4 linked regions of the Saccharomyces cerevisiae S288C genome follow. The gene in region 1 interacts genetically with each later gene. Each region holds a gene or a part of one and is shown in the gene's direction. Other genes may lie near its edges.

Region 1 (2,981 bases):
GGTTTTGCTTGTATAATCCAAGTACCAAACTGAAGTCTTCTGATATACTTGGTTCTCCAGTCAGCTCTTTGAGCGTCTTCCTCAACTCCAACTATCAACCCAATGTCGGATGGCGACAACTCTTCAGGAATCCAGTTTGGAATTGGCTGAACAGGGAACGTGTCGATGTCAGCATAAACACCTCCATGAACTAACAGTATTAAGTATTTGAAAAAATCTATCTTTAGGATGATGGAGGGCAGAGCTTCGTAAGTCTCTAGGATTTCCGGTATGGAGTAGAAGTAGTGGTGTACTAGTGCGTTTATCACGTCATGGTTCAACACTTCGTGCGCAAAGCCCGGATTCTTGCTTTCCCACATGCCCTTTATATCTTGAACACGCTCGGGACCTTCATCATTGGACCAAGTTTGCCAAATAAATGCTGGGAACTTGACATGGGAATCGTAGGGGAAAGTCATAGCTATGCGTTCTCTTAGGGTGGCCTCCGGAGGTGTTTGTTTCAAGTCTTGGATTTTTTTTTCCAGGATCTTACGTTGTTTATCAAATTGCTTTGCTTGAACTTCCTGTTGGTGTCTGATCTCCTGAGCCAAACTCTCAAAATGTTGAACTAGATCAGAATCCGAACTCTGAATATTGTTGGCACTATTAATGCTTTGGGAAATCTCTTTGGGCAAGTTCTGCAGAATTTTTTGTAAATCAGTAGCATTAGAATTGTGAAATAGGTATCTAACTCCAAATGCTAATGAGATGAGGGCTATTATGGCGAATATCATCAACCTCCTGAAACTGGAGGCTCTTTTTGTTGTTTTGGCCATCGTTAACCGCTACAGTCTATATATCTATCTGCTGTCTTCCGAGTAGAGTGCCTCTTCTCTGCAAGAATACGTGCAAAATGGAAAGAGAGGAATGTTCATTATGGTCACTGTTATTTTTTCACTTTCTTCGCTGCTGGGAAATTTCGTTATACTTATCGGAAAAAACATGTAATACGCTATATAGTAGAAATAAAAAGGTAATATAAACATAAGGTTAAAATTTGAAAGATTAAGCAAACAGCGACGTGTCCACAACGTGAAACTTCCGTACCATTTCTTGCAACAATTGGTAAACAGCATGACATCTTGCAGGCAACTCTTTGTTGCTTGCTTGCGACGCCTCCTCCTTTGTCAAAGGTACATTAATGGAGATGACCACATCCGTGTCAAACTGGGTTAATCTGATCAACGCTACGCCGATGACAACGGTCTGTGCCAGATCTGGTTTTCCCCACTTATTTGCTACTTCCATAACGAGTCCGGTGAACTTGGTTCCTTGCTGAACAGTGTCTTCTTGTAAAGCTTCCCATTTGGTGGTCCCGTTCAACTCCGTCAGGTCTTCCACGTGGAACTGCCAAGCCTCCTTCAGATCGCTCTTGTCGACCGTCTCCAAGAGATCCACGATAATGCTTTCATTGGTGGCTAGTCCATCTTCGAATTCTTCTTCATCGCGACGGGAATTGACGTACACCTCCTGTGTATCGGGGACTTCTCTTAGAGTAGAAGCGTCTATAAACCCAGGTGGGACGACAGTAGTGATGGCGCCGCCGTATAATTCGACTTCCTTGTTGTTCATGCTTCCTTGATGACCAGGGTAGGTGTCAATGAGAGTGCATGTGGAAAGTTGCACCGGTTGTGAAATATGAGAAGCCTTTTCAATCTTCATATGCAAACCCACACATGCATCGTTGGTTTCTGTCCACTGCCACTGCAATGACCACTGGATAAGGGGTCTTTATAAGAGAACACATATGAAGAACATGAACGTTCTTGGACAGAGCCATAAACAGCAATTGAAGACAACAAGAATAGCGCAAGTCAAGCGATGAAGGAGTCAGTCCAAGAGATCATCCAGCAACTCATCCACAGTGTCGATTTACAGTCTTCCAAGTTCCAGCTGGCCATTGTGTGCACGATGTTCAATCCTATCTTTTGGAACATCGTTGCAAGAATGGAATACCACAAGCATTCTCTCACCAAGATGTGTGGTGGGGCCAGAAAGGGCTGTTACATGTTGGCGGCGACCATATTTTCGCTAGGTATCGTCAGAGACATGGTGTACGAGTCTGCATTGCGTGAACAGCCTACGTGTTCTCTGATCACGGGCGAGAACTGGACCAAGCTGGGTGTGGCTCTCTTTGGTTTGGGGCAAGTGCTTGTTTTGAGTTCCATGTACAAGCTGGGTATCACAGGGACGTACTTGGGTGACTATTTCGGCATCCTGATGGATGAGAGAGTCACCGGCTTCCCCTTCAACGTTTCCAACAACCCCATGTACCAGGGTTCCACTTTGTCCTTCTTGGGCATAGCCCTTTACAAAGGAAAGCCTGCGGGGCTGGTTGTTTCTGCCGTAGTTTACTTCATGTACAAGATCGCTCTTCGTTGGGAAGAACCTTTTACTGCCATGATCTACGCTAACCGTGATAAGGCCAAAAAGAATATGTAAGTGCTCTATTTCTATATATTCTATAATGTTAGAAGCCTATGCTATTACCGTTTCTATATAGCTCCATAAGCAATTTCTTCGCGAAAGTGAAAAAAAAAAATTTTAATGCGATGCTCTATTTAACAAGGAATACAATGAGAGCATCTAGCGCACACAAACAACTACAAAACGCAATAACGACACAGCAAGAATGAGTCTCAGCACAATCATATGTATTGGTATGGCCGGATCCGGTAAAACAACTTTCATGCAAAGGTTAAACTCCCACTTGCGGGCAGAGAAAACGCCACCATACGTAATCAATCTTGATCCTGCAGTATTGAGAGTCCCCTATGGTGCAAACATCGATATCAGAGACTCAATCAAATACAAGAAAGTGATGGAGAATTACCAGCTAGGTCCGAACGGTGCCATTGTCACCAGTTTGAATTTGTTCAGCACCAAGATTGATCAAGTTATTAGGTTGGTGGAACAGAAGAAGGACAAGTTCCAAAACTGCA
Region 2 (2,951 bases), on another chromosome or scaffold:
GGTGGTGATCCTCTATGATTGATATACGATGGCACCATGAACCCTAGCGTCGTTTCATTACCACCATAAGATTTGATCTTTTCCTTAATGGCATTCACGGTGGCATTTCTAATGGCCTCTCCCTCTAAAGATTGCTTCAATTCGGCTTCTTCCTGTTCACTTTGTATACGCCTTTGTTCCTCTGCACTAATTTTTGCAATAGGTTGCAAAGATTTCGGAAGGTATGGTGTAACATACTGTTCAGACATCTGCTTTGTTTTTGGATGATTTATTGTCACCATTAGCGCAAGCACGAAAACAAACGAAATCAACAGAAAGCGTGCTATTTTTTTGCTCAGCAGTACGTGCATCTTACCTTATCTTATCTTCACTAAAGGGCACAAAAGGTTGGGTGAACGCTTAGTATCCCTCTAGTCTTGTATACTCGTACACATTATAAGTACATTTAACAAATCTCATCCACATTTCTCGAATAAATATCACATGTAACTTGAAGGTTATTTTTATATTTTTTTTTCCTGTGAAGGAACAACTCGTGTCTCACGAGAGCGCCACTTAAAAAACGAAAAGATAATCGGCGATGACTATATATGTATGTGATTGAGAATAAAAATATGGAAAGATAAAAGACCTAGTAACGTTGTATTTCAATAGTGAGGATAACATAAAGAAGTAAAAAGATCTTTGAAAATGTATGAAGTAATACAGAAAAGGAAAACAAAAATAATAAACGTTTTACAGAGTCCTGAACTCATGAGGCTCATAGAGGACCCATCAAATCTGGGTATTTCTTTACATTTTCCAGTAAGTTCACTGCTAAAAAGTAATAAGTGCACACCAATGCCTAAACTTTCTACGTATAGTTTGGCTAGTGGGGGATTTAAGGATTGGTGCGCGTGACATCCCTCTAGACGTTCCACCAGAGATTGATATCATCGATTTTTACTGGGATGTTATTTTATGCATGGAATCTCAATTCATATTAGATTACAATGTTCCGTCAAAAAATAAGGGGAACAATCAGAAGTCTGTTGCTAAGCTGTTGAAAAATAAGCTTGTAAACGATATGAAAACTACGTTAAAAAGACTAATTTATAATGAAAATACCAAGCAATATAAAAATAATAATAGCCACGATGGTTACAATTGGAGAAAACTAGGCTCGCAGTATTTCATACTGTATCTTCCCCTATTTACGCAGGAACTGATTTGGTGTAAACTTAATGAAAACTATTTCCATGTTGTATTACCATCTTTACTGAATAGTAGGAACGTTCATGATAACCACAGTACCTATATAAATAAAGATTGGTTACTTGCCCTTTTAGAGCTAACTTCCAACCTGAACCAAAACTTCAAATTCGAATACATGAAATTGAGATTGTATATTTTAAGAGATGATTTAATTAATAATGGTTTGGATCTTTTGAAAAATCTTAACTGGGTCGGTGGGAAACTGATTAAAAATGAAGATAGAGAAGTCTTGTTGAACTCGACCGATTTAGCTACGGATTCTATTTCTCATTTATTAGGTGATGAAAACTTTGTTATTTTAGAGTTTGAATGCTAAGCAGTTATATTCAGTTAGAAGCATATATCCCACCATTAAATAAGTTAACATACTACTGCATTTTTATTTTATGTTTAAGAGCAGATACGTCAATGTAGCTTGCATATGTACGTATCCTCCCCCACCTCCTATTTTCTACTTTGAACTTTATGGGAGTGTTAGTATAAGAAATATGTTTACACCTTTTTCAGACAAATGTAAACGGAAAATTAAAAAACGAATTCAGATCGATGTGTTAATCAAGTAGATGAAGGAGAATAAAGCATATAAAGCGCACCGCACACATGTTTCATTTAGTCAAGGGACTTTACAATAATTGGAATAAAAAGGAACAATATTCAATTCTAATATTAGGTCTAGACAATGCAGGCAAAACGACGTTCTTGGAGACATTGAAAAAGGAATACTCTCTGGCGTTCAAAGCCTTGGAAAAGATACAGCCTACGGTAGGACAAAATGTGGCGACAATACCCGTTGACAGTAAACAGATCTTGAAGTTTTGGGATGTAGGTGGTCAAGAATCACTGAGATCAATGTGGTCCGAATACTATTCCCTATGTCATGGTATAATTTTCATTGTGGATAGTTCAGATAGAGAACGATTAGACGAATGTTCCACGACCCTACAGTCAGTTGTAATGGATGAAGAAATTGAAGGTGTACCCATCTTGATGCTGGCCAATAAACAAGATAGACAAGATAGAATGGAAGTACAAGATATAAAAGAAGTATTTAATAAGATTGCGGAACATATAAGCGCTAGAGATAGTAGGGTTTTACCAATAAGCGCATTGACTGGAGAAGGTGTTAAAGACGCTATAGAATGGATGATTGTTAGACTAGAAAGGAATAAAAAGTCAAGACCACCGATTTATAAATGATAAAGAAGCACCAAAAGAAATAAAATGTGAATGGTTTATTCTCAAGCTCAGAAATTAGTTGTTGTAGCACTTTTTATTCGGCATTTTTTAATATACATGTGTAAATTATATATATATATATATGAATATATATCTTGTTTTGTTTATTTTCAACTAATAATCGCAACAATATTATCTTTCAATAACGCTATAGCTTCTGTATGCTTTTTGCTCAGTTGCTCAATGGTTCTCTTCCTCTATGTGATAAACCAAATAGTTTGGTAAGCCAAATACATCGTAGTTTAATCTCTTCGCCATCTTAGCAAAACCTTCTGTTTCAATCAAGTGATAAAATGGGAAATTAGGGAACATGGCACCGTCTCTGTGAACTTCTGCTTTGACCAAAGTACAGCCTCCACCAACACCATCCAGCGCCATCTCTTCACCTGGTACGCCATTAGCATCGTAGAAATGAGCCATTAATGGCCTATAAGTGGCAATTTCTGCATAACCCTCGACAA
Region 3 (2,882 bases), on another chromosome or scaffold:
TTATTACAATGTCGAGCCTCTCGTGGGTTATCTGGAACAGCACCCGGAGTACCAAAACGTGACCTTGCAGTTTCCTGACGATTTAATCAAGGACTCCTCGTTGATAGTAAGGCTGCTGCAATCGAAATTTCCCCATGGGAAGATAAAGTTTTGGGTTTTAGCTGACACAGCGTACAGTGCATGCTGTGTAGACGAGGTCGCTGCTGAACACGTACATGCAGAAGTCGTGGTACATTTTGGTGACGCATGTTTGAACGCCATCCAAAACTTGCCCGTGGTTTACTCATTCGGAACTCCATTTTTGGATTTGGCACTGGTGGTGGAGAACTTTCAGAGGGCATTCCCAGACTTATCCTCCAAAATTTGTTTGATGGCAAACGCACCCTTCTCTAAGCATTTGTCACAGCTGTACAATATTTTGAAGGGCGACCTGCACTACACAAATATCATATATTCCCAAGTGAACACCTCTGCGGTAGAAGAAAAATTCGTAACCATACTTGACACCTTTCACGTTCCCGAAGACGTAGACCAGGTGGGTGTGTTCGAAAAAAATAGCGTGCTGTTTGGTCAGCACGACAAAGCAGACAACATCTCGCCCGAGGACTATCATCTTTTCCATTTGACCACCCCACAGGATCCGAGATTACTGTATTTGTCTACTGTGTTTCAATCTGTTCATATTTTCGATCCGGCTTTACCTGGCATGGTAACGGGGCCATTTCCCTCTCTAATGAGGCGTTACAAGTACATGCATGTGGCAAGAACAGCGGGATGTATAGGTATTCTGGTCAACACGCTGTCGCTACGTAATACAAGAGAAACTATCAACGAGCTGGTCAAGCTTATCAAAACTCGTGAGAAAAAACACTATTTATTTGTTGTCGGAAAGCCAAATGTGGCCAAGCTAGCAAACTTTGAAGATATTGATATTTGGTGCATTCTCGGTTGTAGCCAAAGCGGTATCATCGTTGATCAATTCAACGAGTTTTACAAGCCCATTATTACACCTTATGAATTAAACTTGGCCTTGAGCGAAGAGGTCACATGGACCGGGAAATGGGTTGTGGACTTCAGAGACGCCATTGATGAAATCGAGCAGAATTTGGGCGGACAAGATACCATCTCTGCCAGCACAACTTCCGATGAACCGGAGTTTGATGTAGTTAGGGGAAGATATACTAGCACATCAAGACCACTGCGAGCGCTAACGCACCTGGAGTTAGAGGCGGCCGACGACGACGATTCCAAACAACTGACTACAAGACATACCGCCTCAGGTGCCGTCATTAAAGGTACTGTATCCACTTCAGCATCAGCACTGCAGAATCGTTCGTGGAAAGGTCTAGGAAGCGATTTCGACTCTACTGAGGTTGATAATACTGGAGCGGATATCGAAGAAGGTATTTCCGGTGTCGCACGTGGTTATGGATTTGATCGCGAAGACGCTATGAAAAAGGAAAACAAATGACTCTTATAATTTGTTTCCCTCGACTTCTCTATTTAAATCCAAGATTTTAACTAATAAACTATTTAATAATAAAACAATTAACTCTTTATATGGAAGCCTTGGAAATTAGCCGCCAAAATGGGATATACATTCCGTGCGAAGTGACCGCGTGGAAGGCCGGGTATCATCTTAAAAATCACTAGTTTCTTTTTTAGCGGAATGCAATAAAGGTGCTTTGTGCTGGTGTGGTTTACACGGAACATCTAGTAGCTAAAACTTGGTAACTCAATGGTGATCAGAATCCATAGAAGCATTTTTATTTCTTAAAATGGGTGCTGCTCCTTCCAAAATTGTGGATGGTCTTTTAGAAGATACAAATTGTATGTACACTTCGGAGTGAGGAAAAGAAAGAAAGGGGAAATTAACCGATTTTACTAACACTGACACTTTGAACAGTTGATAGAGATGAAATTGAAAGGTTAAGGAAGAGATTCATGAAATTAGATAGAGATAGCTCAGGGTCTATTGATAAAAATGAATTTATGAGCATTCCTGGCGTTTCGTCAAACCCTCTTGCTGGACGTATAATGGAGGTTTTCGATGCTGATAATAGTGGGGACGTGGATTTTCAAGAGTTCATCACAGGATTATCCATTTTCAGTGGGCGTGGGTCCAAGGACGAAAAGTTAAGATTCGCCTTCAAAATCTACGACATTGACAAGGACGGTTTCATATCCAATGGTGAGTTGTTCATCGTGTTGAAGATTATGGTAGGTTCTAATCTGGACGATGAACAGCTGCAACAGATAGTAGATAGGACGATAGTGGAAAACGATAGCGACGGCGACGGACGTTTAAGTTTCGAGGAGTTTAAGAATGCTATCGAAACCACAGAAGTGGCCAAGAGTCTGACATTGCAATACGATGTGTAAGACTAGGGGACACTTCATTCATTTATGGTATGCCAATATTTTTAAGAAAAGAAGAATAATACGCGATATTGTTTTTTAAGGAAGGAACGCACACTCGCCCAGTTAGAGTGCTGATGATATATACATATATATATGTATATGTAACAAACAATAAGAAAGCAATGATACAACATAGAGATGAGAGAGAGCATATATGTCAGCGACGAGATATACCAAGATGGAAGCTGATCTCATGTAATAACTGCGGGGTGTACTTTGATAATTTTTGGGATTCCATTGTTATTAATAGCTTTGATATCAGACATACAGAATACCAGAGATTTTCCTCAAAAATATGGCAATGCACAAAGGGGGATCAATAGTTATATAAATTAAGATTATTACTTCTTCTTTGTTTTATGTGTTGTTATTCACTATCCCACTGCATTATCAATCCTTACATATCAGCTTCCGTTAAACCCGATGACTATCTCTCAATCATCATACTATCTTCTTACACC
Region 4 (3,277 bases), on another chromosome or scaffold:
TATTATTATTATTATTGTTATTATTACCATTATCTTGAGGAAATGTTGAAAGACTGTGGTAAAGATCAGGAACCATTTCACTCGGGTTGATATCTATGGCGTCCTGACACAGCTCTCTTAAGGAGTCTAAAACTTGGTTAAGGAAGTTGTTGGAACGTACCTGTATCTGACTGCCCTTATACTCTGAATCTTTCGTGAAGTTTGCCAAGATCGCCTGTTGCTCAAGAAGATTATCGTGTAGTAATTGTATGAGCGATTCCGTTCTATGCTCGCAAACGCAACTTTGCGAATGGGTCTCCAACCACCAAACAGGGACAAAGTTCTCACAGACCCGGCATAGTTCCATTTTTGGCAGAGGTAGATTGAACTCGTCTATTATCATTTCCAGTCGTATTCTCTTCAAGTACTGCACGAAGATCTTAGCGCCGAACCCAAGCGTCTTGGCGAACTCTTCGGGAAGTTGGATATCGATATCGTCGCAATTATCGGATAACTGGATGACCATGTCGTCTTGAGCGTCTTCGTTGGCATAAAAGTCTGACCAGTCGTTTGTGCGAGGCTTGACTATCCACATCGTGTGAGAGGGCAACTGTGTGTGGCCATCCCTGATTAAGATACCACGTGCTTCCAAGGTCGTTATCGTACTTTCATCGTCACAGCCTGCGCTACCTTCATAGTCGGCTGCCTTTATCTTGAACGTTATAGTGCAACTGGTGTCATCATTCATGAGCAGCATGTCTGTGGCCTTTTGAAAGACACCTTTATCTTGATCGGATCCGAGAATAAGGTCTGCAATGTACGTCGGAGAAGAGCCACTATCATCGGCGACTCCTGTGATCGTGTTCCACTGTGGAGAGCCATATCGCACCTTGCCGTCCAGTTCCAGCTCCAAGATCATACACGGATTCTTCTCTGTGGCCAGCTGCAGATATTTTTCATAATTGGAGGAAGTCAATGAGCTTGGGTTCGAATTCGATGATATCGGGGAGAGCTTGTTTATGCCAAGTCCCTCTTTCATAGCCTGAGATCCGCCTGCGGTGTTACTTCTATTGAACATCTGTCTTCCTCTACTGGGCTTATCTATTCTATCAAATGAGGCAAGAGAAAGGAAAGGGAAAAAAAAAAAGGGAAAATGCTTGATGAGTTAGGAATTCAGTAAAAGCACCCACCAGAACCTCTACAGCAGGCCTTCCAGGAGTGGTTAAGAGGATAGAGAATTCTGTATATATATATACGTCTATATCTATACAAAAAACGGCAGACAATGCAGAAGTTGAAAATGCTGTGATACGAACAACAACTTATTTTTACAATGAAAAACAACACCAAGCTGCCAAAAGCTGTATATTAAAGTTAAAGCTCCCTCATTTTTAGTAAGGACGCTTTCTTTTCCCACAAAAGGGACGAGGAAAAAAAGAAAAACCTGGAAATATAGTCACGTGACATGAATAAACAAGACCTAGGGCAATATGGAAAAAGAAGCTAGGATAAAAATACATTTATGAGGGTTGTAAGGCAAAGTGGCTCAGCATTAAGTAGGGCTAAAAAGAGTCGCAAATATACATCGTACCGAGTGATGAACGTGGTTTTGAACACCTTGTTCTCTTTTGTTCTCGCTCCCTACATTCACTATATATTAGAAGAAATTTCACCTCAATGGACAACTCGAGAAATGAATACAGAAATATGTTTTTTAGCGAAATTTTCCTTTCTTCTTGTCTTCTTGTTTTATTTAAACTTCCAAGGCTTTAACTCAGTGTCAAACATAACAACCTCCTCCTCCCCCACCTACGACAACAACCGCCACTATGGAAATGACTGATTTTGAACTAACTAGTAATTCGCAATCGAACTTGGCTATCCCTACCAACTTCAAGTCGACTCTGCCTCCAAGGAAAAGAGCCAAGACAAAAGAGGAAAAGGAACAGCGAAGGATCGAGCGTATTTTGAGAAACAGAAGAGCTGCTCACCAGAGCAGAGAGAAAAAAAGACTACATCTGCAGTATCTCGAGAGAAAATGTTCTCTTTTGGAAAATTTACTGAACAGCGTCAACCTTGAAAAACTGGCTGACCACGAAGACGCGTTGACTTGCAGCCACGACGCTTTTGTTGCTTCTCTTGACGAGTACAGGGATTTCCAGAGCACGAGGGGCGCTTCACTGGACACCAGGGCCAGTTCGCACTCGTCGTCTGATACGTTCACACCTTCACCTCTGAACTGTACAATGGAGCCTGCGACTTTGTCGCCCAAGAGTATGCGCGATTCCGCGTCGGACCAAGAGACTTCATGGGAGCTGCAGATGTTTAAGACGGAAAATGTACCAGAGTCGACGACGCTACCTGCCGTAGACAACAACAATTTGTTTGATGCGGTGGCCTCGCCGTTGGCAGACCCACTCTGCGACGATATAGCGGGAAACAGTCTACCCTTTGACAATTCAATTGATCTTGACAATTGGCGTAATCCAGCCGTGATTACGATGACCAGGAAACTACAGTGAACAAGAACACTAGCCCCAGCTTTTGCTTTCTGCTTTTTTTCTTTTTTTTTTTTTTTAGTCGTGGTTCTCTGATGGGGGAGGAGCCGGTTAAAGTACCTTCAAAAGCAGAATGCAGGGTTATTGGAAGCTTTCTTTTTTTCTTTTATGCTAGTTTTTCCTGAACAAATAGAGCCATTCTTTTCTTATTACTAAGAAATGGACGGCTTGCTTGTACTGTCCGAAGCGCAGTCAGGTTTGAATTCATTTGAATTGAATGATTTCTTCATCACTTCATGAAGACAATCGCAAGAGGGTATAATTTTTTTTTTCTCGTTATTATCGCTGTTGGTGGGTTTTTTCTTTTCATATATTTCTTTTTCGCTTAGTGGTTTCTACTGTTCTGTCTCCGGTTAGTGTGTGCTACTTCAACCGAAGAAGAAGAGGCTTTTCAAGAATGCAAACGTGAGGTTGGCGCGCCCTCCTACAATTATTTGTGGCGACTGGGCAGCGACACTGAACATAGCTCTTGAACAAGACCCTTTTTTGGCTGCAAGGAGCAAGACTGGCTGGGGTTCCACCTCAAAGAGCCACGCTCTGCTTTTTTTCTATCTGTTTGTGTCATATCTATCTGTCTATTTATCTATATATATATTTTTTTATATAAAACTATAAAGAATTCTTGATGTATGCCCTTAGGTTGGGCAGCTTTTCAACCTTAGACTTGATGCTAACGCCGCTCTGTTCCTTCTCCCGTGCTCCCGCAAGCGAACATCTCCCCCTAACTCCGGGCCAATGAG

The links.
Region 2: mutations in OPI3 (region 1) and ARL3 together harm fitness more than expected from each alone (negative genetic interaction), as found in Saccharomyces cerevisiae (5 studies listed by BioGRID).
Region 3: mutations in OPI3 (region 1) and CNB1 together harm fitness more than expected from each alone (negative genetic interaction), as found in Saccharomyces cerevisiae (6 studies listed by BioGRID, with this or other methods).
Region 4: mutations in OPI3 (region 1) and HAC1 together harm fitness more than expected from each alone (negative genetic interaction), as found in Saccharomyces cerevisiae (7 studies listed by BioGRID, with this or other methods).

Annotation. Positions count from the first base shown.
Region 1 is NC_001142.9:571,815-574,795, reverse strand, and holds OPI3 (bifunctional phosphatidyl-N-methylethanolamine N-methyltransferase/phosphatidyl-N-dimethylethanolamine N-methyltransferase), read left to right. Parts: upstream 1-1,860; coding exon 1,861-2,481; downstream 2,482-2,981. Other genes in the region: HOC1 (alpha-1,6-mannosyltransferase), read right to left, coding at 1-815; Ran GTPase-binding protein MOG1, read right to left, coding at 1,045-1,701; GTPase NPA3, read left to right, coding at 2,672-2,981. UniProt on the Saccharomyces cerevisiae protein: Catalyzes the second two steps of the methylation pathway of phosphatidylcholine biosynthesis, the SAM-dependent methylation of phosphatidylmonomethylethanolamine (PMME) to phosphatidyldimethylethanolamine (PDME) and of PDME to phosphatidylcholine (PC).
Region 2 is NC_001148.4:458,109-461,059, forward strand, and holds ARL3 (Arf family GTPase ARL3), read left to right. Parts: upstream 1-1,854; coding exon 1,855-2,451; downstream 2,452-2,951. Other genes in the region: KTR6 (putative mannosyltransferase), read right to left, coding at 1-350; mannosyltransferase complex subunit MNN9, read right to left, coding at 2,671-2,951. UniProt on the Saccharomyces cerevisiae protein: Involved in the targeting of ARL1 to the Golgi. Can bind and hydrolyze GTP.
Region 3 is NC_001143.9:81,169-84,050, forward strand, and holds CNB1 (calcineurin regulatory subunit B), read left to right. Parts: upstream 1-1,778; coding exon 1,779-1,830; intron 1,831-1,906; coding exon 1,907-2,382; downstream 2,383-2,882. Other genes in the region: DPH2 (2-(3-amino-3-carboxypropyl)histidine synthase), read left to right, coding at 1-1,471.
Region 4 is NC_001138.5:73,371-76,647, forward strand, and holds HAC1 (transcription factor HAC1), read left to right. Parts: upstream 1-1,808; coding exon 1,809-2,469; intron 2,470-2,721; coding exon 2,722-2,777; downstream 2,778-3,277. Other genes in the region: protein kinase RIM15, read right to left, coding at 1-1,057. UniProt on the Saccharomyces cerevisiae protein: Transcriptional activator involved in the unfolded protein response (UPR) pathway. Recognizes and binds to the UPR element (UPRE) in the promoter of UPR-regulated genes such as KAR2, PDI1, EUG1 and FKB2.